Linked DNA regions of Drosophila melanogaster. The protein of the gene in region 2 interacts with the protein of the main gene of each other region in a pairwise test. Each region holds a gene or a part of one and is shown on either strand. Other genes may lie near its edges.

Region 1 (8,297 bases), on a different chromosome or scaffold from region 2:
TGCAATTACTTATGGCGCGCTCTGCGAACATGCTCATAATTATCTGATTGGGGGTGTGGCCCTCATTCATTTGCATCTTCTCCACCCATATTACAAGCTCTTTTTGAGAGCCCCATCATAATATGTAAATTTGTGCAGTAACCATCTTCAGATGGCAATAAAATGGATCTCGTTTGAACATGGCGCGCTACGGCAGACAAGCAGTTGTCGATGCAAGCAGTATGTGGTGAATTTCGTTTGCAAAACTGCTTGACCAGGGATCTTTTGATCGGTTGGAGGGAAATTAAGCAGCTGACGTTAATTAGATGAAATGCTTGTGCATTTTTGAAGCTCGAAACAATAAAATAAATATAATGTAAACTGGCTCATACAATTTTATATATTTTTCATTTCCAACAATTTGTCTTTTATTTTAATGAAAATATTGGAATGAAATATCAGTTCATTTATTTATTTACTAAGTTTGTTACAAACTTTATGTATTATTAAAATATAATACCATCTTGAATCATATAATTAATTTTATTACCATGAGTGGATTTTTATAAAAGACATATTTTGGAATATAGAGAAAATGTCAAAACATTATACGAATTTCTTTTGAGGGATCTGTAAGTATTTTAACATCTCGTCCTTGTGCTGATAACTCCCATAATTAAAAGGGATAGACGGAAATGGTAGGGAGACTCGGCTAGTGATTATCGTCGCGTGCATAATAGATGAAACTACTTTCGATACTGTTTAACACGTTCATCGAATCTAGAGATTCCCTTTACGGATATAAATATTTTAATTATGATAGGTCTGAAATTGTTTAGTGTCTAGGTATATAGTTCTGCTAGGGTGGAACTCAAAACGTGTGAAACCTGAGAATTCTAATCAAGTAACTAATCCGAAAGTTTGATAAATATTTAAAAGCTAAATGGACTTAACTTTAATGATTTACCGAGAAGGATTTTGATTATGCTACCAAGTGTGTAGGTAGCTTATATTAACAATTTAAAACATGAAGCAATAGTAGTTATTCATCAAAGTAAATGGTTTTTACAGATAAGCCAAGAACAGAATGGATCACATAACTCGTTCTTGGCAAATTACCAGATACATTTAAGGCTTGCATTTCTGGCGACATGCCAAATACACAGTTGCCAAAAAGCCTGTACTTGACAATGTAGTCGATATTCACTCAACTCAAACTAACTTTTTCATAAATGATTTGGAGTTCTTCTAATCCAAGTCAATGGCTGATCAAATTTTTTCAAATTAGCAAACATTTTATGATATTTTTCAAGCACTCCCCACTATAAACACAGTCTTAAAACACCAAAATCTTATTTCACTTCAGCAAACAATTTGGTGGCTTTGTCAAATCTTCAACGAGATACTCACCCAATCGAATTTCACGTGCCGCTGCCCGCGTTTTATTGCGATGACAGCTCCTTGAGTCACAGAGCCGAGCATCATCATCACCAGCCATCATCAACTCGTAAAACCAACACCACGGCCTTTGTTTACAACCGCGTTCGTCGTTGAGGATGTGGAAACAGTTGGAAAATGGGCGCTGGAGCCGCGGAATCTGGGCCACTGCATCCTGGCCAAAAGATCCCAGCCGAATGACCGTCCGTCTGTGGAGGCGGTTCGTTTTGGAATCCAGAGATTGTCGGCGGATTCTGATTCCAGGTTCCAGTAACAGCATCCAATAAAAGTGCAAGTCGGAAGCAGTGATGACATTCTTTTAGTTTTATTTGCTGAATATGTGTAGGTTCGTAAGTTTAAAAAGTTCGACAACATTTTTAATAAATGGTTTCTTTCTAACAAGGTTTTCTAATTATTTATTATTATATTATTATAATTATAATAATAATTATTATATATATTATAATAATATTATAATTATATTAGAATATATATATATGTATATATATATATATATATATATTATAATATATTTTATTTCGCTTATAACATTATATTTTATCAATATCTTTATAGTATTTTAAGGTCAGAGGATGCCGAAAAGCTTCTAGGATGTCATCACTGGTCCTAAGGTAACCATTTGACGGAACTGCGCAGGCGTTAACTCTGGCTTCACATCCGCCTCCATCAGGCTGGAATTCTCTGGTGGAGGTGGAACTGAAGTGGGCTCTCTTTGAAGCCTTTGTCGGGCTCCTTAGCCAGGCCTTACTGTTGCCATTTTCTGCGGCAGGGTGGCGGCAAGGAAAAACCCGATTTCCACCCCTAAACTGGCCAGAGTCTCACGTCTGGCGTTCCAATCGACTTTTGCCGACTCTCTCTCAGGGGAGGTTTTGGTCCGAAAATCAATAAAAGTCACGTCGACGTCCATGTTGCTCTGCTCCTGCCGCAGAGGCCTCAACCTCCGGCCCCGGCAGACAATGAAATGATGTCCTGGCCAAAGGACGACGGAATGGGAGGTCGGATGCGGGGCTGGGAGTTTCAGACGAGGACGCACGTGTTGTCCCTGGACTTCAGGCTCGAATGCGTGCGAGTAGCAGCAACAATACCAATTACAATAAAGACAGACATTTAGCCAGGATTCATTTCGAGGGGTGTCCGCAGGAAGGGAAGCCAGCAGGACATGTGAAAAAAGGAGCCAGGAGCGAGGATGAAAAATTTGCCAAATGTATTCCAGCAACGGGTTTCTAATGGAAACAATTAAGTCATTAGCAAGTGTTGATTTTAGTGAGCGATGAGCCGGGTTGGGGATTTAGTTAAACTAATGTGCTCCGGCCATAATGGAGTCCTTTGGGCACTCTGGACTGGATCCCCGCACAAGCTCCCGAATAGTTCATGTACCAGTGGCAGACCCAGCTCGTTGGACCGCCTTACAAATGCCTCGCATTTTTCTCAATTACAATGAACAACTTACATTCGGGTTCACTTTTCGCCACACAACCCACTCCGCATTTTGACCATGTGAGTGTTTACGTCAAGAGGTGAACAACTGACTGCCATTTTTTAACCATGATTGAAGAGTTAAACGCTGTGGCACTTTGAGCGGGCTCGGTTAACTTTTTGGCAAATGACTTCGGCAGCGTTAACCGTTGGAATACCAGCTCAGAATGGAGGTTACATGCTGTTTTTGGTGTCAAGGTGGGACCTTGCGGACTCAGATGGCAGCTTTAAGGAAGAAGATCTTGAAAGATCTGTTATTTAGGGTTTGGAAAGTGGCATCCAAAAAAGTTAATGGATTTTTAAAAGATTTGGATGTTCTAGCCATCATTCTAACGAAACTGTGGCTTTTAAAGTGTAAAGTTTGAATTGTTTATTGTTATAAATTAATAAGATCCATGGAGCATTGGGTGTTGTTTAGAAGTGATTAATTTTTCATTTATATCTGCACTTACCATATATTTTTAGATTCCCTCTCGATAAAACAATGAAATACTTTTGACAATGCCTTGTCTCCTGGCTTAGTTTTATTGAATGACAAACCCTTTAATTCGTTGCTTCAAGAGGTGTTTATTCTCTCATGGTATTTAACTTACACCGTATACAAGCCAACCCAACCACATAGGAAAAGACCGATTAAACTTTATCAGAGAACGTTATTTACTTAAGCATATTAATGTGTGTTTGCACAAGCCGACGGATGCAGAGCAAAATTCATAAGGCACAAGCGGTGGCTCGATCTCAAGTGTGTCCGAAAATAATGAAGTCTGAATGGGAGCTAATTGAATGAATCATTAATAATATAAACACAGACCGCATCCGGACTGGCGAATTGCCGAAAAAGCGAGACGAGAGGAGAAAGTGAGGGTTCCAGTCTTGTTGCGTGGGAATGGAAATCAGACGTTGAGGGCTTATTACGACAAGGAGGGCACTGGGATGACGGTCTGGAAGAGATGCAGTCGCGCATCGGCGTGTCCCAGCTTATTGGTGGCATTGCAGTAGTAGTCCCCAAAGTCCTCCTCGCCCACGCTATCGATGCGCAGCACAGAGGTTGTGGTTCCCGAGGAGGAGGCGGTGTTGGCCACCTCGTGGTGCCGGCTAGACTGCAGGGGCACGCCATTCTTGTGCCAAACTACAGTCGGAGCCGGGTAGCCCTGCACGGAGCACTCCAGCTCCGCGGAATGGGACACCATTTGGGCGATCTTGGGCCTCTGGACGGCAATCTGCGGACGGAACTCCACTTCGACCCGGATCAACCTCTTGTCCGGCTGGCCCTCTCCGTTCTGCGCGATGCAGTAGTAGCCGCCGCGATCCATCCGGTGCACGGAACGAATCCGGAGAGTTGGTTCGGCCAGCAAATGGCCACCGGCAGGCATCACTGCATTATGCTCGCGGGCCCAGGAGATCGTAGGCTTGGGAAAGCCATTGGCATGGCAGGTCAGCTCCAGATTCTGTCCCTCTGTCACCAGGGTGCTCTTGGGGGTGTTCTCCGCAATCACCGGCGGGGTCTTGATCTGCAGGCTCAGCTTCTTGGTCACCTTCTCCGTGGCCGAAACAAGCACCTGACACTCGTACGGACCCATGTCACTGACTTCGATGTTCTGAATGCGGAAGGTGTAAATGGCACTTCCGGTCTTGGGTCCTTCGGTGACCGTTACGTTGTACCGCTGGTCGGGCAGACTGAGGATATTCCGCATGGAGAGCACCACCGAGTTGGTGTCCGACTCGCTGGGACGCTTGGCCCAGCTCACCGAGAGCTGTCCCACCTCCTCCACGGTGCAGTTGAACTCCACAGAGTCGCCCACACTGGCCACCACGTCCTTGCTGATCTGGCTGATCACTGGGGCACTAAGCACCGAATCCAAGCTGATCGCAAGGCAGAATATAAGACCGATTAGAAGCCGCAGACGCGCCATGTCTGGTCTGTAAGAAATCAAAATAGATTTGAGATTTATTAGTGTATCACTTTATGTTGAGTCTTTTGATCGCGTTAGCCATTCTAAATATTTCGTATGTAATGGAGAACTGCCATTTTTAACCCATCTTCGAATTCAATATAATAAACTAAAACTAGGTTCAATTATAGAATAATAATTTAAAGGTCACAAGTATATCTTTAAAAGTATCTTTCAAAAGTAAATAAGAAGGAAAGAATTCTGCACACACACTCGTTTTGAAACATTTATAAGGCTTGTACACACTTTTCAGCTTTATCGTCTTATTTTAATATAATTCATACATTTCTGTTTATTTACAGGATGTTGCTGTTGATTTTGTGACTCTTTTTCCTCGACTATCTCTCAGTTCAATGTGGGTTCAATGCGCTTCACTTCGCGTTCGGGACTCGACTGAATTGAAAGAGGCGACCGAGCTCGGCTCAAAAATCCGTATCTCTGCTGAGGTTCTGAGAATCGGGTTCTTATTTTTGTATTCTTCCTGACGCGCCGACGTCGATGGCTCGGTTTCTCAAGGAAAGTCCCGAAATTTGTACACCGCGAGAATGAAGCAGATAGACACCATTATGATTGATTACCGCGGCTGTGTCTAGACAACGTTGCTTCTTAATGGATACACTGGTAAAAACGGAGATAACTTAGTTTTCCGATATATCAATACTTATTTTTTTTTTTAATGAATAGCCAGGTAAACGAAATCAATTTGATTTAAAATTAATTTTTTTGTAGTTAAGGATGTGAAAAAAGATTTTAAATGGCAGTGTTTAGTAAATAGTTTAAAATTTAGTAAAAAAAATAGTTTACCTTTTATTATATTGCATATTTTTTAATAATTAGTAACAGCTTTTTTCAGTGTATTTGCCGATGAAGAAGTCATCGACGTTTTGGATCTTATCACCCCTCGGTTATGTACATTGTCGCCTTCACAGTATTTGTATCTGTGTTTGTTCAGTATCTCTATCTGTATTTTGTATCTGTGTTTGCATTTTAGTTCGTATTTAAATTGTTTACTTGTGCGTGAGTTTGACTTCGGGCTCAGTTATCAATGCACTTTCCTTCTGGTCTTTAATTGATTTGTTTTGCTGCTCGCTGCTGTTGTTTATGCCTCTGCCTGTGGCCCTCCTGCCCCGCCCACTTGACAGCCCCCGCCCCAAGATAAGCGGTCAGTTGCAAAAACAAAGCGCCAGCGAAAGCGGCCGCAGGCGAACTGAGAGACCGCGTGCGAAATTCAAATTCAAATTCGTGCCGCCATTTGGCCATAAACGTTTCGGGGTTCGTGGAAGGACAATAAAAGGAGCAGCGGCGGGGTGGGAAAGTTGGAACTCTACCCATTTGTGTGATTTATGGCATGGCGCACTACTTTCCGCTGGCGGCTAACAACAACAGCAACGATTACGAGCGGTCCCTGGAATATCCTAGCCGCTCTGGAAATGCCAGCGATCCCAGCGCCGTCTCATTAGTGCTGTCTCTTTTGCGCCGGAGCAGGGGCGCATGCGCGAAAAGGCAAAAACAACGGGGTGGTGTACAAGGCATTGGGTGGAACTTGAATCGAGTCCTGGTTCAGCCATGCTGGGAAATTCTGAAGGATATTTAAAGAGCAGTATTCGGGAAATTTGGGTACCTTTAACTTGGCTGTTCGTAGAAATTTCTTTACACGGCTGAAGGTTAATATGTGTACTCACAGCATACGAGGATAGGAAACGTCGAAATATAACATAGTCTATATTGATTATATTTGTGTATATATATTGATGTGTTTAATATGTGTCTGGATCTCGATCAATTAGTTCCTATGGCAGATGATTTAAGGATTAAATGTGGTCAAAGGCCGTTTGATGTGCAAAATTTCACTTGTTGTATAAGCACCGAACCATTCGAAAACTTTCTGCTGCCCAAACGCATTTAATTTTCATATTTCCAGCCTGATTCCTGATCAGCCCCGGGCCAAGTTTCCCCCTAAAACCCATCGAGGTTAACCCGGCTTTACTCTGCGAGATGATTGATGACGACGCTGTCTGTCTGGCGAAGAAATTCCCCCGAAGAGCGACGAAACTATGGCCACAGTTTCTGGAAAATTAAATCACATCTTAAATCGTTTCGGTGACTTCTGCTGAAATGAGGCCGTTCCCATGGGAGGACAACTGCATCTGTCGTCCGAACTTGGACCCCCGCACTCTCACTCGTACTGCCCATCTGCCGGAATCCTCGTCGCTGAGTGCACATTCGAATCAGATAATTGTAAATTGTGTAAAATAATAAATTTCCAGTTAACTATCAACGGACCGCATAGGGCGCTTCTATTCCGTCCCTTTCTCGCTGCCCACTGACGGCTCTCCTTGTCCTCAGCTGCATCCCGGCAGCGTCATTATGACCATTGCGGCGATGCCTCTTGGATGCAGGTTCAGGTCCTGGTCCAGGTCCTGGCAGGTCCGGCTGCTTCATGCAACGCTCGACTTGGCCCGACCGAACTGGACACACACCGAAACCGAACGAAAGAGACGGCTAGACGGCGTGCGACAGAGAGGGCTGCCGCTCGCATTCAGGCGCAAGCGGATCCAAAACAGAAAATGTCAAATTTTGTAATTTATTACCCGAATCCTGTTTCTGTCAGTGACTCTTTGGGTGTTTCGCTTCAGCAGCGGCACACACGGGGGCATTCAGCATTCAGGGTCGCCGAGCGGGGAAGGGAGAAGTCCTTTGTCACACACTGCGTCTGAATTTGTGGCCCAGTTCCGCACAGTGGTATCTAGCAGATACTTTTTGTAATATTTGTAAGAATGCACAGAACTTCGTTACATTCAGAGATTTCTAGTTTCTAGTCAGATGACTAAATACAATATTATGTGTCAAAGTAATTAATTTTGTTTTTGAATAAATTTCTAAAATATCAGCTTGCCTTTAACGTAAATATAGCCTTTTCTACCTATCTTTATCTGATATAAAAAAGTAGCATTTGAAATGCTGTTGTTGCAATGGTATCGAATTGGTATTAAAGCTCTGGCCCTGTTTAATTTGTATTTGTAGTCAGAGCAACCACTGTACCTTTGTGTGTATCCTTGGGCTTTGCCTATGCGAACGTATTTTGTTTGCCTTTTGGCTGCACTCCGACTCCGTCGACTGGAGTGTCTGTGAATTGACTTTTGTTGCCAGTTGGCAGCGGCAGAAGCAGCAAAGCCCGGCCAACAGCAACAAGCTCCTGCCAGATCCCAAAAGCAAACACGACAATTATTTGGCAAATGTCATTAAAAAATATTTCACTTAAGGCCTTGCGACACTTGCTTAAAGGTCAACTGGCTCGTTGGGTGTGTTTTAAAATGTTAAAGCTTGGGCCAATGCACTGAGCAACTTAATGCTTGTAGATATTTACACAATATTCTTCAACGCTAAACATATCGAATTTTCCAAATATGGAGCCTGAAAATAATAATTGCC
Region 2 (5,857 bases):
TTACTTAAATTCTTACATACTTAATTATCCTCTCCAAGTCCTTTCGAATAACTAAAATAACACATTTTTACAGTGAAGGCAAACGCGACTTTGTGGCTTGTGCAGTGGTGGCCCAGCAGGATAATGGCTTCACCACGCCTTGTGGCGTCTGCCGGCAGTTCCTCTCGGAGTTCGTCAACGGCAAGGACATCCCCCTGTACGCCGCCAAGCCGACCAATCTTCCATTGAGGGTGCTCTGCACCAGCGTTCTCCAACTGCTGCCCAACGGCTTTAGCTTCGCCAACGGAAAATAGAAAAGAATATCCCAGCCCAGCCCAGCCGGACAGGGTGCAATCCATGTGCAATAGTTTATGTGACATCCCATTTATAATGTTCTGTAAACCCACCCCTCGTTATTTGTTGATTGAATAGCTTATACGAGATACGGCATCTGTTTGTGTTTTTCACTGCTCTCCGCGATCGCGATCGTTGCTTATCAGCCTGATACCTGGTTCTCTCTCGCGCTCCGAATTGGCCAAATGTTTATTTCTGTCACCACTACACGGCGGAGAGTGCTATCAGCATAGCCAACTTCGGGCGCCGCCGTCACCACAAACCGTCCATTTGCCATCGGACGTTCAAAGGAGAAACACACGCACTCAACTTGCTAAAAATAATTCAAAATTTAAGAAAATAGGCGTGCCTCTATTGACCAAAAGAATTGAACTATAATGACACATCTGACAAAAAATTTCGCACGTCCAGAAAAGAATGAGGAGGTTGTGACCTTCGGCAGTCTGGGTAAGATTCCTTCTCGAGATTGAGAACAATCTGAGAACAATCCTTAAATATCTACGACTGTCAATTATTCAAAGTGGTTCTTATGATATTAAAAATAATAATGTTATAAATTAATACTCCTTACACTCATTGACAAGATCTAAGTTTAATTCTTGAGCGTGGCGTGCATTGTTTCGACTTCCAGATCCGTCGGTTCAAGAACTTCTGACAGCTGCTTTTCAAGTGCGCCAGCGGGCATACGTTCCATATAGTGGCTTCAAAGTTGGGGCTGCTTTTCGGGCCAAGGTCGATGGAAAGATCTTCACTGGCTGCAATGTGGAAAACGCCGCCTTTACGCCGGGCTCTTGTGCCGAGAGAACGGCCATTGCTAAGGCCGTAAGCGAAGGAGCCACCGAATTTTTGGCAGGTGCTGTTTTGGCCTACGAACCTAATGTATTCACCACTCCTTGCGGCGTTTGTCGTCAGTTTATACGCGAGTTTGCCAACGCGGATATACCCATATATGTGGCCCAGGCGATCGATGCGAGGATTGCTGAAAAGCAGGAACTTTTGCAGAGTGACGATCCCGTCATGTGCACCTCAATCTTTAATCTGTTGCCGAGCAGTTTTCACACCTATCGAAAGTAACGACCACTGCAGGCAAGAACCGAAAATAGGCAGAAGGTAGCTAGGTAAAGGTTGTTTCTCAACCCCTTGCTGCCTCTAATCAATATAATTTTGATCTAATCACTTGCAATAAAGAAAATTACACTACTTAGCAGTGTTTAATGTTTTTTTTTCGATCAATGAATAGGAAATGGGGATATAAATGCTGGAAAGATTGACACAGTGAAAGATTCTAGGAAAAGGTGTTTAATCGCTTTTGATTATATATCAAAATTAAGGTTATAAATTAAAGATATCGAATTTGGATTGACAACTGCTGACGTTAAGCGCAATGCAGGGAATGCCCCGATTTGTGATGACGTGATAAATGCACTCAACTTCTGATTCATAAACACCAAATTATTGTGAGATTAAATTTCGCCATTTGTATAGTAGCGAAAATAAGAAAGATCATTGTGGTAGTGGCAATCTTTTAAATCAAATTTATAAGGTTTGTTTCCAATTCCTTTGGATTCTAGTTTTTGAGATCATGATGTTCATACGAACAATAAGACAGACTGGCTAGACCGATGTCGCGATAAAGGCGCGTTCAAAACGCGTCCGAAACGCGTCGAAAACGCGCGAGCTTTTTCGACATTCTTAATTTGTAAAAATTTTAAACGTATTTAGTTGTTGTTGTTGTTTCATTAAATGCCTTAATGAACATCAACTGTAATAAATGTAATAAAAATTCAAATGGCGCTAAATAATATAATATAATCATTTTTATGAAAAAGAAACAAAAAGAAAATAATTTGTTTGACATTAGTGTTTTACAAATTGCCAACAGATACAGCATTTGCTTCTGGCTTTCAAAAATTGTTTTCGTTTTAAAAATTTGAAGTTCTGCAAAATGTCCGAAAAGCGGAAGCTCCTTCAGCGCTACATGCGGAACCTGAGCGACCTACAGGATGAGCTGAAGCGAAAAGAGCTGGAGAAGAAGATGAAGGAACTGGAAATGTTGCAGGCGAAGCTAGCTCGTCGCCAGGAGCAATCTGGCACCAAGTGCGCTGGCGGTAAGATCAAGAACTTGCGCCAGAAGAATCTTCGAAAGGTACTGGGAAAGTATATGATGACCTTGGAGGGATTTCTATGCGAGCTAGCACGCAGGGAGGCGCGTCTAAATGGCGACAGGGGTCGGGCTAGTGAATCCGAAAACCTGCCACATCCACAGATGTTGGAGGAGTACACAGTAGCGTTCTGTGCTGTTGGTAAGGCTTGGCTATAATGGTGAATCCTCTGCCATTGGTAATCAAACCGTAATCTCCAGGTGAGGATGGCCGGGAGCTGCTAGAGGCGGCTCTTTCTGCCCGTCGATGTGCCTATGCGCCCTACAGCAAATTCAAAGTGGGAGCAGCCTTCCGTGCGAAGTGCGGCAGGATCTACGCGGGCTGCAACATCGAGAACGTAGCTTTCACTCCAGGCAATTGTGCGGAGCGTTGTGCCCTGGCCAAGGGTATCAGCGAGGGCGAGAAGAAGTATACGGCGGGTGCTGTGGTAGCCTATCACCCAGATGGGTTTACCACACCTTGCGGAGTCTGCCGGCAGTTCATTTTGGAGTTCATCCAAAATGATATTCCTATCTACATTGCCAAGGCTCCGCCGCCGGAGCAAGAGAACTGCATTCCTTCAATTCCGGACGAAGCTGAAGTGCTGGTCACGTCCGCCTACCATCTGCTTCCCCACAGCTTTAACTCATTTGAATGAAATTTTCATCTAAATAATATCCAGAATTTATTTAATGCAATAAAATTATTCGTTCTAATGTCAATAAGTATTGCAAATAATTTAAGTTAGCGATCTGATTAACTTGACAAAAAGTCAAAACAATGTGTAGAGAACTAAACGTATTTGATAACTGGTTCTCCCGATCCGTAGATGCCGTATTCGCTTTTCTCCGCAAACGGAGTGACTTCCTCGTGCACGAGTATGGGCTTAACTTCTGGATCGAATTCAACCCTTCGAAATTGTGGATCCGTGAAATTAGCGCGCACCTCGGTGACCATTCCCGAATGCGGCACTCGTTTGGTGAGGTTTTGAAACTCACAGCGTCGCTTTGGGCAATTATGCGTATTACCCTCGTCACACATTGTAGGATCCTCTTCGCGGGACACTTTCTGGATGGGCGGCATCTTCTCCGTCCAATTCCAGTATGTAATATTGTCGTGGGCAGCTACTCCGCCACACAAGTCCTCGGGACCCCAGCGCACATACGACAGATTGTATGTGGTGGAGGAGGGATCAAGGTACTTGCTAAAGGACGCCTCCGAACGGTCGATGACTAGCTTGGTGGCTACCACCGGAGTGGGCATTGTTACAGGCAATATTTCCTGTTCCTCCGGCAGCTCCTTAAGTACATACGACTCATGACTGACACTAGAAATGGGCTTCATCTTTCGCTTTACAAAGCGAAGGGAACCCTCCTCAAATGGTTTCATATACTGTGTTTTCATGTTGAGCGAGGGATTTCTAAGTGCGTTGGGATCGTTATACTGGAACATCATGGTCACGTTTTAGTTTGGTGCAACATATCTCAGCATATCAATCAACTCACCTGCCACACATAGTTGGCCATGCACTCAGAAGTCGGCTTCTCGGACAGCAGCGGATCTTTTACATAAATACCCTTATCCGTAAACTTGGCGTTCAGCTTGTTACCCATTCTCAAGTCTGTAATGTGGCGATGCCCTCGATAGTACGAGGTCCTCCAATCGGGATCTGTAGCGCTGGCAGGGCGCTTGTAATCGAAGACGCCGAACTCATCCATGGCTTATGGACTTTGAAAATCTATCTAACACTGACAACAAACACAATTTTCAGCGACAATGGAAATGTGCACCCCTTGAGACGCTTAATTTGGAAACCCTTGATGTTGCCCAGTTACCGAATAGACTCCAAACAATGCTAGTATACTGACTGCTCACAAACAGCCAGCCTTCTGTACAATATTTCTCGTTTATATTCTGCTTCAAATGCAAGTGTTTACAATATATGTAGTTGTAGTTTATGCTGTAGAGAGGAATGCTTGTTTGACAAATATAAAAGCGCTCTGTTCACAAAACAAATGAATATTCGTTAATATAATACGTGGGCTAAGATAATAATGTTGCACTCGATTTGGCCTGTGCAATAATAAACTGTTTGCTTAGCAATTAAACAATTGATTTACTTCGTCTCCCGGATGTGTGTAATCGATGAGGCTTGCGTTTCAATGGGGTGTGTAAACAATGTGCGGGTGACTCATCCTTCTATTCCTTGTCTACTTCCGGCTCCCCGTCTCAGGCAATCTCTTTGAGCGCTAGCAGTGATTGGCGCAGATATTCATACTGCGTCTTGGCATGCTTGATCTCCAGCTCTGAGAGCTCGACGAGGCTGTGTTTAGAAAAGCGATAATAAAATGCAGAGCATAGCAAAATGTTTAGCAGCTGCTGACTCACCTCTTCTTGAAAGCAGCTACCCGTCGGTTGCGGAAACCGATCAACTCCTCCTTTCCACATGCAGACATAGATTCGAATTTTTCACAGGCCTCCGCCTGGGCAGTCTCGGCCTAATTGGAGGATAAACAAAAACGATTATATACAGGGAACACAACAAGTGGGCCACAGCAAGGGCATGCTAAAGTGAATACAACAGATTGAGCAACGGTGGAGCGCATGCAGCATTTACGTGGGGTGGCGACACATCTACTAAACCGACGGTTAAAACGTTAAATGCCAAATACCTCTTGCACCTCCAACGGCTGCAGAAACAGAACCACAAACACGCACAAAAAGTGAAGAGGGAGGGACAGGCAGATCAGAGAGTTGTGAGGTTGTGTACGGTAGCAATAAAATACAAGAACGCAAATAATTTGTTATTTGTAATTAGTGAAGCGTGAGAATTAATTGACCCGCTGGAAACTTTTTGTAGGGAAAACAATTGCTCTTTAAACGATCTGAAACATAGTTCTGGAAGAACTAGTTGTGATCATCCCTCAATCTTACCGCATGAACATCCTTGTTTTTGGAGCGAGCCTTCTCCAGGTTTCGATTGGCCGCTTCATAAGCAGCCAAACACCGCAGTCGCCGGATAAGTAGAGCTTTGGCAGCGTCGCTATCCCGCTGATAGTAGCGCAGAGTGTCGCCCAGCTTGAGATCTTGATCGCTAGCCACTCGGGTTTCCAGATTCTTTAAAATATCAAGAGGAAAATTTATAAAATATAATTATAGCGAAAACGCAGCGTAGCGCACCTTGATCCTTTCAAATATCTCCGCTGTCTTGGCCACAAACGTCTCCACATTTCCCTTTTCCGTAGTCGAGAGCTGCGTCAACGCATTCGAAATCTTCTGATGCGAGTCGCCTACATCCTTGTGGCGTTGCGTCATTTTCTCCGTCCTGAGTGCTGCCTCGCGCAAGTGGCCGTGGTACTCGGTAAGGAACTGCAGCTCGTTCT
Region 3 (6,517 bases), 3.3 Mb from region 2:
AGCCACGTCTTGTTTCCCCATCATGCATCACATATTTCATGATTCCAGACCCTTTAGTTTAAATTACAAATCTAAATTTTGTTTTTAAATAATTGGATTCTAATGAAAACCCATTAAATTGTTAATTCCAAGGTCAACGCATCTGCTTTACATAAAAAGCAAAACGGCATTACTTCTGTTACGATCTATACTGTTTAAATATGCATAATTGTAGAGGAGTTCTCCATTTGCGCAGCAGCTCGATTTACCATTACCCACCACACCCCACCCACCGACACCTTGAATTTATCGCGCCACGCTTTATCAGCGACGCCAGCAACATGCAAAACCACTTTAAAATAGATTGATTAATTAATTGGTATCTTTGCAGGGCTGCCGCGCCATGGTGCCCAAAACCGAGGACGCCGAGATCTTGGAGTGCATGCGGAATTACCAGTGGGGCCACTTGGCCATGACGTACACCAGTCTCGCAGTGCTGGTCACCCTGGGCGATGATTTGTCCCGACTGGATCGGAAAAGCATTGTGGACGGAGTGGCTGCTGTTCAGAAGCCTGAGGGCAGTTTTAGCGCCTGCATCGATGGCAGCGAGGATGATATGCGATTTGTTTATTGTGCCGCCACCATATGCTACATGCTGGACTACTGGGGCGATGTCAACAAGGAGACCATGTTTCAGTTCATCACTCGGAGCCTGCGATACGATTACGGTTTCAGCCAAGAGCTGGAGGGGGAGGCCCATGGCGGCACCACATTCTGTGCCTTGGCGGCGTTGCATCTTAGTGGACAACTGCATCGCCTGGATGCCACGACGGTGGAGCGAATGAAGCGTTGGCTCATTTTCCGCCAGATGGATGGATTCCAAGGACGCCCCAATAAGCCAGTGGATACTTGTTATTCCTTCTGGATTGGTGCATCGCTATGTATTCTGGACGGCTTCGAACTAACCGATTATGCCCGGAACCGAGAATTCATTCTGAGCACACAGGATAAGCTCATTGGGGGCTTTGCCAAGTGGCCGCAAGCCACGCCTGATCCGTTTCACACATACCTCGGTCTCTGCGGACTAGCTTTCACGGGTGAACCTGGGCTAAGCCCCGTGAATCCCAGTCTGAACATGTCCATGGCCGCCTACGCTCACCTGCAGCATCTGCATGAGCAGTGGCGGTCCGCAGATGGCCGAGGCGACGAGGATATTAGTGTAAGCTCTGCATTCAAGCAACAACTCCACCTGTCAAAGGGGGTCGAGGCGACATCCACAACAACTACCTCTAACTCGCCATTAATTTCAGCACAATGATGGGAAGCCGCACAAAGCACGAGGGGAAAGTTAAAGCACACTATTGTATTTATATTGGCCACATTTTAGCCACGCTTTTTATGCCCTTGCAGTTAGTATATTTATTTTATCGAAAAGTTTGTAGCGCAGTGGATGAGGCATTTGCGACCATATAAACTATATATCAGTATCACCAGCGGAGTCGATACGGCCATGTCCGTCTGTCAGTTTCTATGCCAAATAGTCTCTTAGTTTAGCAATCTGCATGAACGGGTCGTTGTTTTTAATCGGTATAAATGTTATAATTACTGCAAGGGTATATAAGTTTCGGCTTGCCGATTCTAGCTTACTTTCTGGTTTACATGTATTTTAATGCAAAAAGCTCGAGCTTTTGGAGAGAGAGATGAATAAGTTAGTATGTTTATTGTACAGCCTAAATTAATGTTAACAATGTGTAAGATTAAGCTTAAAAGTAAATTAAAGCGTCCCATGCTGAGGCATGTATTTACAGCAAAAGTATTGGATAGCCTCGAAAGCCTCCTTGGTACATTGGTAATATTGGCCCGGAATCAGAATTAATCTCAAACCTGCAGGAACAGGCGGTGATGTTGCACAGTTGGCATGTAGCCCATGCCGGGCCGATCGATGTGGACCCGTCCACGAAGTGGGGCGAGCACACGCTCGGTGACCAATGGGCAGCGCTGCACCATCAGTGACTGCAGCAGCGGGCAACTGGAGGTGAGGGCACTGCGGAAGAGGGAGAACGAAGTGTGGGCTAGTAAACAAGGAAATCGCTGGGATAGAAGTCGTTCAAGTTGTAAGCGTTGAGCCCCACATCCGGCTGTGGCCTATCGATGTAAAGACGCCGCTGGCGGAGCGGCGCCAGGGAGAGTTCTGTGACCCGCGGACAACGTCGAATGAGCAAGGTCCGTAGCCGCAAACAGTGCACTGTCAAAGCGCTGAAAATACGCAGATGCGGATGCAGATGGAGATTGGTTTCCCCAGAAACACACAGACACAAGGCACGCACAGGTTTACTGACAATATGACAACAGCTTTTAGGGATAACTACGAGTATTACTTACTGCACGCCATAGTCGGAGATAGCCGCACACCCGATCACGTTGATGTGCTCCAGTTCGCGGCAATAGTTCCCGATTTGGATGAGCACCTGATCGGTGACACTGGGCGTATTTGCCAGCGACAGGACGGTGAGCTTGTTAAGTTTCCTGAAGAAGATAATCAAGCAGCGCTCTCCAATTGCGCCGCAATAGGAGATGTCGAACTCCACCAGCTTGCTTTGGTGCAGCGTCAAAGCGTCCACTGCTCCCGTGGTCAGCCACTGGCACTTGGACAGCTTGAGTACGCGCAGCTCCTTGCACTCCACTATGATCGGCTGCAGCGAAAGGGCCGTGATGTTGACGCATTCGTTCAGGTTGACGGCCCACAGGCGTTTCTTGTTGTTGGCCAGCAGTGGCAGCAGCAGCTCATCTGTTAGCCATCGGCAGCAGGCCAGATGAAGCACCTCCAATCGTTGGCAACATCGGGCCAGCACTCGAAAGGCCACGTCGATATTCTTTGTGTTGTTCCCAGAGAGATGAAGTTCCTGCCTTTTTTCCAGCGCAGCCTCCACAAAGCGTTGTGCGGTACGGGAGCAGCAGCGCAGGTTGAAGAGATCCTTGAGCGACAGGTAGACGGCAACCTGCGGGATGAGCACATCGTCCCAGCAGACATCAAACAGCGATCGTGGTGCTGCAATGGAGGCGGTGACCAATGGCCTTGGACTGGCCGTACGCGTTGGTTGTCCTCCGCTGGCCATGGCCATCAGGTGAGCTTCCTCCTCGGGGTGCAGAGTGCACATGCTGCCGCCTCCGGTTACGTGATCTACGCACCAACAAAGCACTCCCAACTCAATCCTTTGGTGCACGGCAAAAACGTAATTAATTGTTTACTTGATAGCAATCAGCTGTTGCTTTGGCATTCACACAAAACTGCTACAAAAATTATTTGTGTAATCTTACGCCGTGGTTTCTACACACGAGTAAAATTTGTTTTACACTGCGTAAAACAAGTGTAGAACACATACATTTTGTTGGTGACCCCGATTTATATACTCTCGAAACGTATTGCTTTTAAAATGATCGATTTATTTAGAAAAATTAGTAAGAGATGCCAGTGTGGTCACGGATCCAGTCCAAGTGGTAGGTGACGCGCTGGAATCCAGCAGGAGCACCCGACTGGCAGCCGTTGGAGGAGACGAAGTTGCTAACTCCCACCAGCTTGGAGCCGTCGTGTGTGACAAGGGGACCGCCAGAGTCACCTCCGCAAATGGACTTGCCGTCGACGGTGCGGGTGCAGATGACGTTGTCGCCAACGCTGCCGTAGGTCCAGCCGCACTCTTCGTTGTGGACGATCTGGAGATCGACGCACTGCAGCCAGTCGGGCAGTGGGCTGCCGTCGTAGGTGCCACCCCATCCGCAAGCGACGGCCCACCATTCGTTGTAGTTGTTGTAACGGTCGTTGTAGCTGGGGAGCTCCACCTTGTTCACCATGTGCCAGAAGTCGACGTGGGGGATGCGGATCAGGGCGATATCAGCGTTGGAATGCTTGATGAAGTTGCCGTTGCCAACGGTGTGGGTGAACTGGGCGTTGGTGCGCCAGGTGGCACCGAAGTAAACGATCACGGAAGCGGCATCTCCGATGCAGTGCTCGGCAGTCAGGACCCAGTCGTGGGCGATGATGGAGCCACCGCACCACCAGCCTCCGCTGAAGCCAAGACCCACAGTGTAGGGAGCCTTACCCTCGGGGGCGGCGTATCCGTTGGTGATACGACCCTCAATCTTGGTGGCCTTGGGCAGGTCCTTTACGAAGACCTTCTCGTCGAAGGCGGAGGCCGAAGCCACGGCCAGAGCCAGGATAGCTAGGAACACCTTCATGCTGATGTTTATACTGGATTCTACTCTCGGATGGCAGCCTTTTATACACATTTTCAGCTAAAACCATATCTGCAACTCGAAAAGGGCTCGTAAATAATCCTCAAGACTCCCATAAACGATGTCATCGATAAGAATGGAGGAACCACTCTACCAAGCCAGTAGTAGAAATCAAAGAAACTCTAGGGGGGACTAGACCCCCCCCACTAGACTATATATATTTATATATATTATATTATTTTATTATTTACCATATATTAAGTATGCAGCAATAAACAGCCAAATTATTATCTATCTAAATGGAATAATATTTTGTGGCTAATCAAATATGTTTGTAGTTTTATTCATAATTATAAAATATATATTTGTCAACCTTTGCGCAGACCATTCTATCTTATCATCATTTTTCAGAACTTAAAATTTACAATGATCTTTGGACAGGAATGATTTTCAATAAAGTTGTTTGTTAACTTTTACATAAAATGTATGTCTGCTTTTTGTCCTGATAAGGATAATCTGTAATAATGGCTGGAGGTTTTCCGCTTGTTTTCAAATCTATTACTAACTGTTGCCAAGTTAGGCTGAAGGATTCTCGACTATTATTAATTTAATAGACAATTAATAAGAACAACAACAAACCAAAACTTGATGCACAAGTGTATGATAACCCTATATACTCACAGGTTTTTGATAACAAGAATTACAAGTGCTTAAAAATAAAATAGTTTACAATTATTGTTCAAGTGTAAACAAATGTTTGAAAGTGATAATAAAATAGGTGTTGGAAAAATGTTAAAAACTTGTGTGTTATTTTCATAAAAATGCTGATTGAACTTCTTTACAGCAAAATTGTCAAAATTACTAAAAAAGTTAGCTGTCATTGAAGATAAGATTAAATCTAGTACAAATCTGTAAATTATTATTTGCTTGCTATTATATATAGCTTTTGCTTAAAGTTTCTAAACTATCCAATCGTTTTAATACTTACAAAAATATATCCAAAATAAAACAGAAACAAAATATACATCTGTATTTAATATTCTAAGAAAAACTGAAATATAAATTATCATTATTTAAATGAAGGAAAATTTTATTTATTATAAACAAGTTAAACAAAATGGAGATTTTAGCCACATGCGTAAACCCTTTAATCTTATCGAAGGTAGGTCTGAAAAATAAACAAATCCCTCCAAATCAATTGATAGAAAACTGAGATAGTAAGAGAAATAAACTAGACTGGCACTAACAACAAATGAAATACGCAATTCTTTATAACTTATAACACTACTTATCTTTCTGATTTAATTTAAATATGAGGCTTAACATTTAATCATAAATAATAATAAATTGGAAACCATATCATTCGTATTCTATGAAAACATTCTATGAAGATATCGAAAATCAATCTAAACCATACAAAATCAAGTATCTTGATCCTTAAGATAATCCATTTTAGTTTCCCCATTCCTTAAATTTAAACTATCGAATTAAAAAACAATTATCTATTAAATGCAGAAGGGTTTATTTCGAGAACGAAATTAGTAGGAGATGCCAGTGTGGTCGCGGATCCAGTCCAGGTAGCTGGTGACGCGGGTGAAGCCATCGGGCAGGCCCGAGGTGCAGCCGCTGGCGGCCACAAAGGAGGTGACACCGACCAGCTTGGAGCGGTCGTGGAGGACCAGTGGGCCGCCAGAGTCGCCGGCGCAGGTGGACTTGCCGCCGGGGGTGGAGGTGCAGATGACGTTGTCGGTGATCACATCGGTTCCATAGACGCTGGAGCACTCGTCGCGGGTGATGATCTGGGAGTCCACGCAGTTCAGGTAGTCGGAGACGCCACAGCTATCGCAAGGCCTGCCCCATCCGGAGGCTAGAGCCCACCAGCCGGCAAAGCTGTCGTGGCGCTCGTTGCCATCGGGCAGCTCCACCTTGTTGATCAGGTGCCAGAAGTCCACGTGCGGGGTGTTGATCAGCGAGATGTCGTTGTTCAGGTTGTTGGTGTTGTAGTCCGAGTGCTGGCGGAAGTGGCCGCTGCCCACGGTGTGGGTGTACTGAGCCTGGAGGCGCCACAGAGCACCGTAGTAGATGGTGACGGAGTGAGCTCCGTGGGTGCAGTGGGCAGCCGTGATCACCCAGGTGTGACCGATGATCGAGCCACCGCACCACCAGCCACCGCTGTCGCTGCTGAAGCCCAGACCCACGATGTAGGGCACCTTGCCCTCGTAGGCGGGATAGCCGTTGGTAATGCGACCCTCGATCGAGCCGGATCCGGATCCCAGGACGGCGTCCTTTAGGGGCACCGGCTTCACCT

The links. The genes of interacting proteins can lie anywhere in the genome.
Region 1: the proteins of CG8292 (region 2) and Ama interact in a two-hybrid assay, tested with the Drosophila melanogaster proteins (one large-scale study listed by BioGRID).
Region 3: the proteins of CG8292 (region 2) and Jon25Biii interact in a two-hybrid assay, tested with the Drosophila melanogaster proteins (one large-scale study listed by BioGRID).

What each region holds. Positions count from the first base shown.
Region 1 is NT_033777.3:6,760,369-6,768,665, reverse strand, and holds Ama (amalgam), read right to left. Parts: upstream 6,074-8,297; 5' UTR 5,687-6,073; coding exon 5,670-5,686; intron 5,487-5,669; exon of another isoform or gene 5,150-5,486; intron 4,834-5,149; coding exon 3,825-4,833; 3' UTR 3,405-3,824; downstream 1-3,404.
Region 2 is NT_033779.5:8,213,708-8,219,564, forward strand, and holds CG8292 (uncharacterized protein), read right to left. Parts: upstream 4,311-5,857; 5' UTR 4,193-4,310; coding exon 3,980-4,192; intron 3,918-3,979; coding exon 3,267-3,917; 3' UTR 3,144-3,266; downstream 1-3,143. Other genes in the region: CG8360 (uncharacterized protein), read left to right, coding at 74-293; CG8353 (uncharacterized protein), read left to right, coding at 711-780, 965-1,407; CG8349 (uncharacterized protein), read left to right, coding at 2,279-2,636, 2,696-3,132; Snx6 (sorting nexin 6), read right to left, coding at 4,704-4,797, 4,863-4,972, 5,147-5,164, 5,409-5,591, 5,655-5,857.
Region 3 is NT_033779.5:4,946,537-4,953,053, forward strand, and holds Jon25Biii (jonah 25Biii), read right to left. Parts: upstream 4,232-6,517; 5' UTR 4,213-4,231; coding exon 3,436-4,212; 3' UTR 3,405-3,435; downstream 1-3,404. Other genes in the region: betaggt-I (beta subunit of type I geranylgeranyl transferase), read left to right, coding at 371-1,297; jet (jetlag), read right to left, coding at 2,052-2,235, 2,362-3,137; Jon25Bii (jonah 25Bii), read right to left, coding at 5,748-6,517.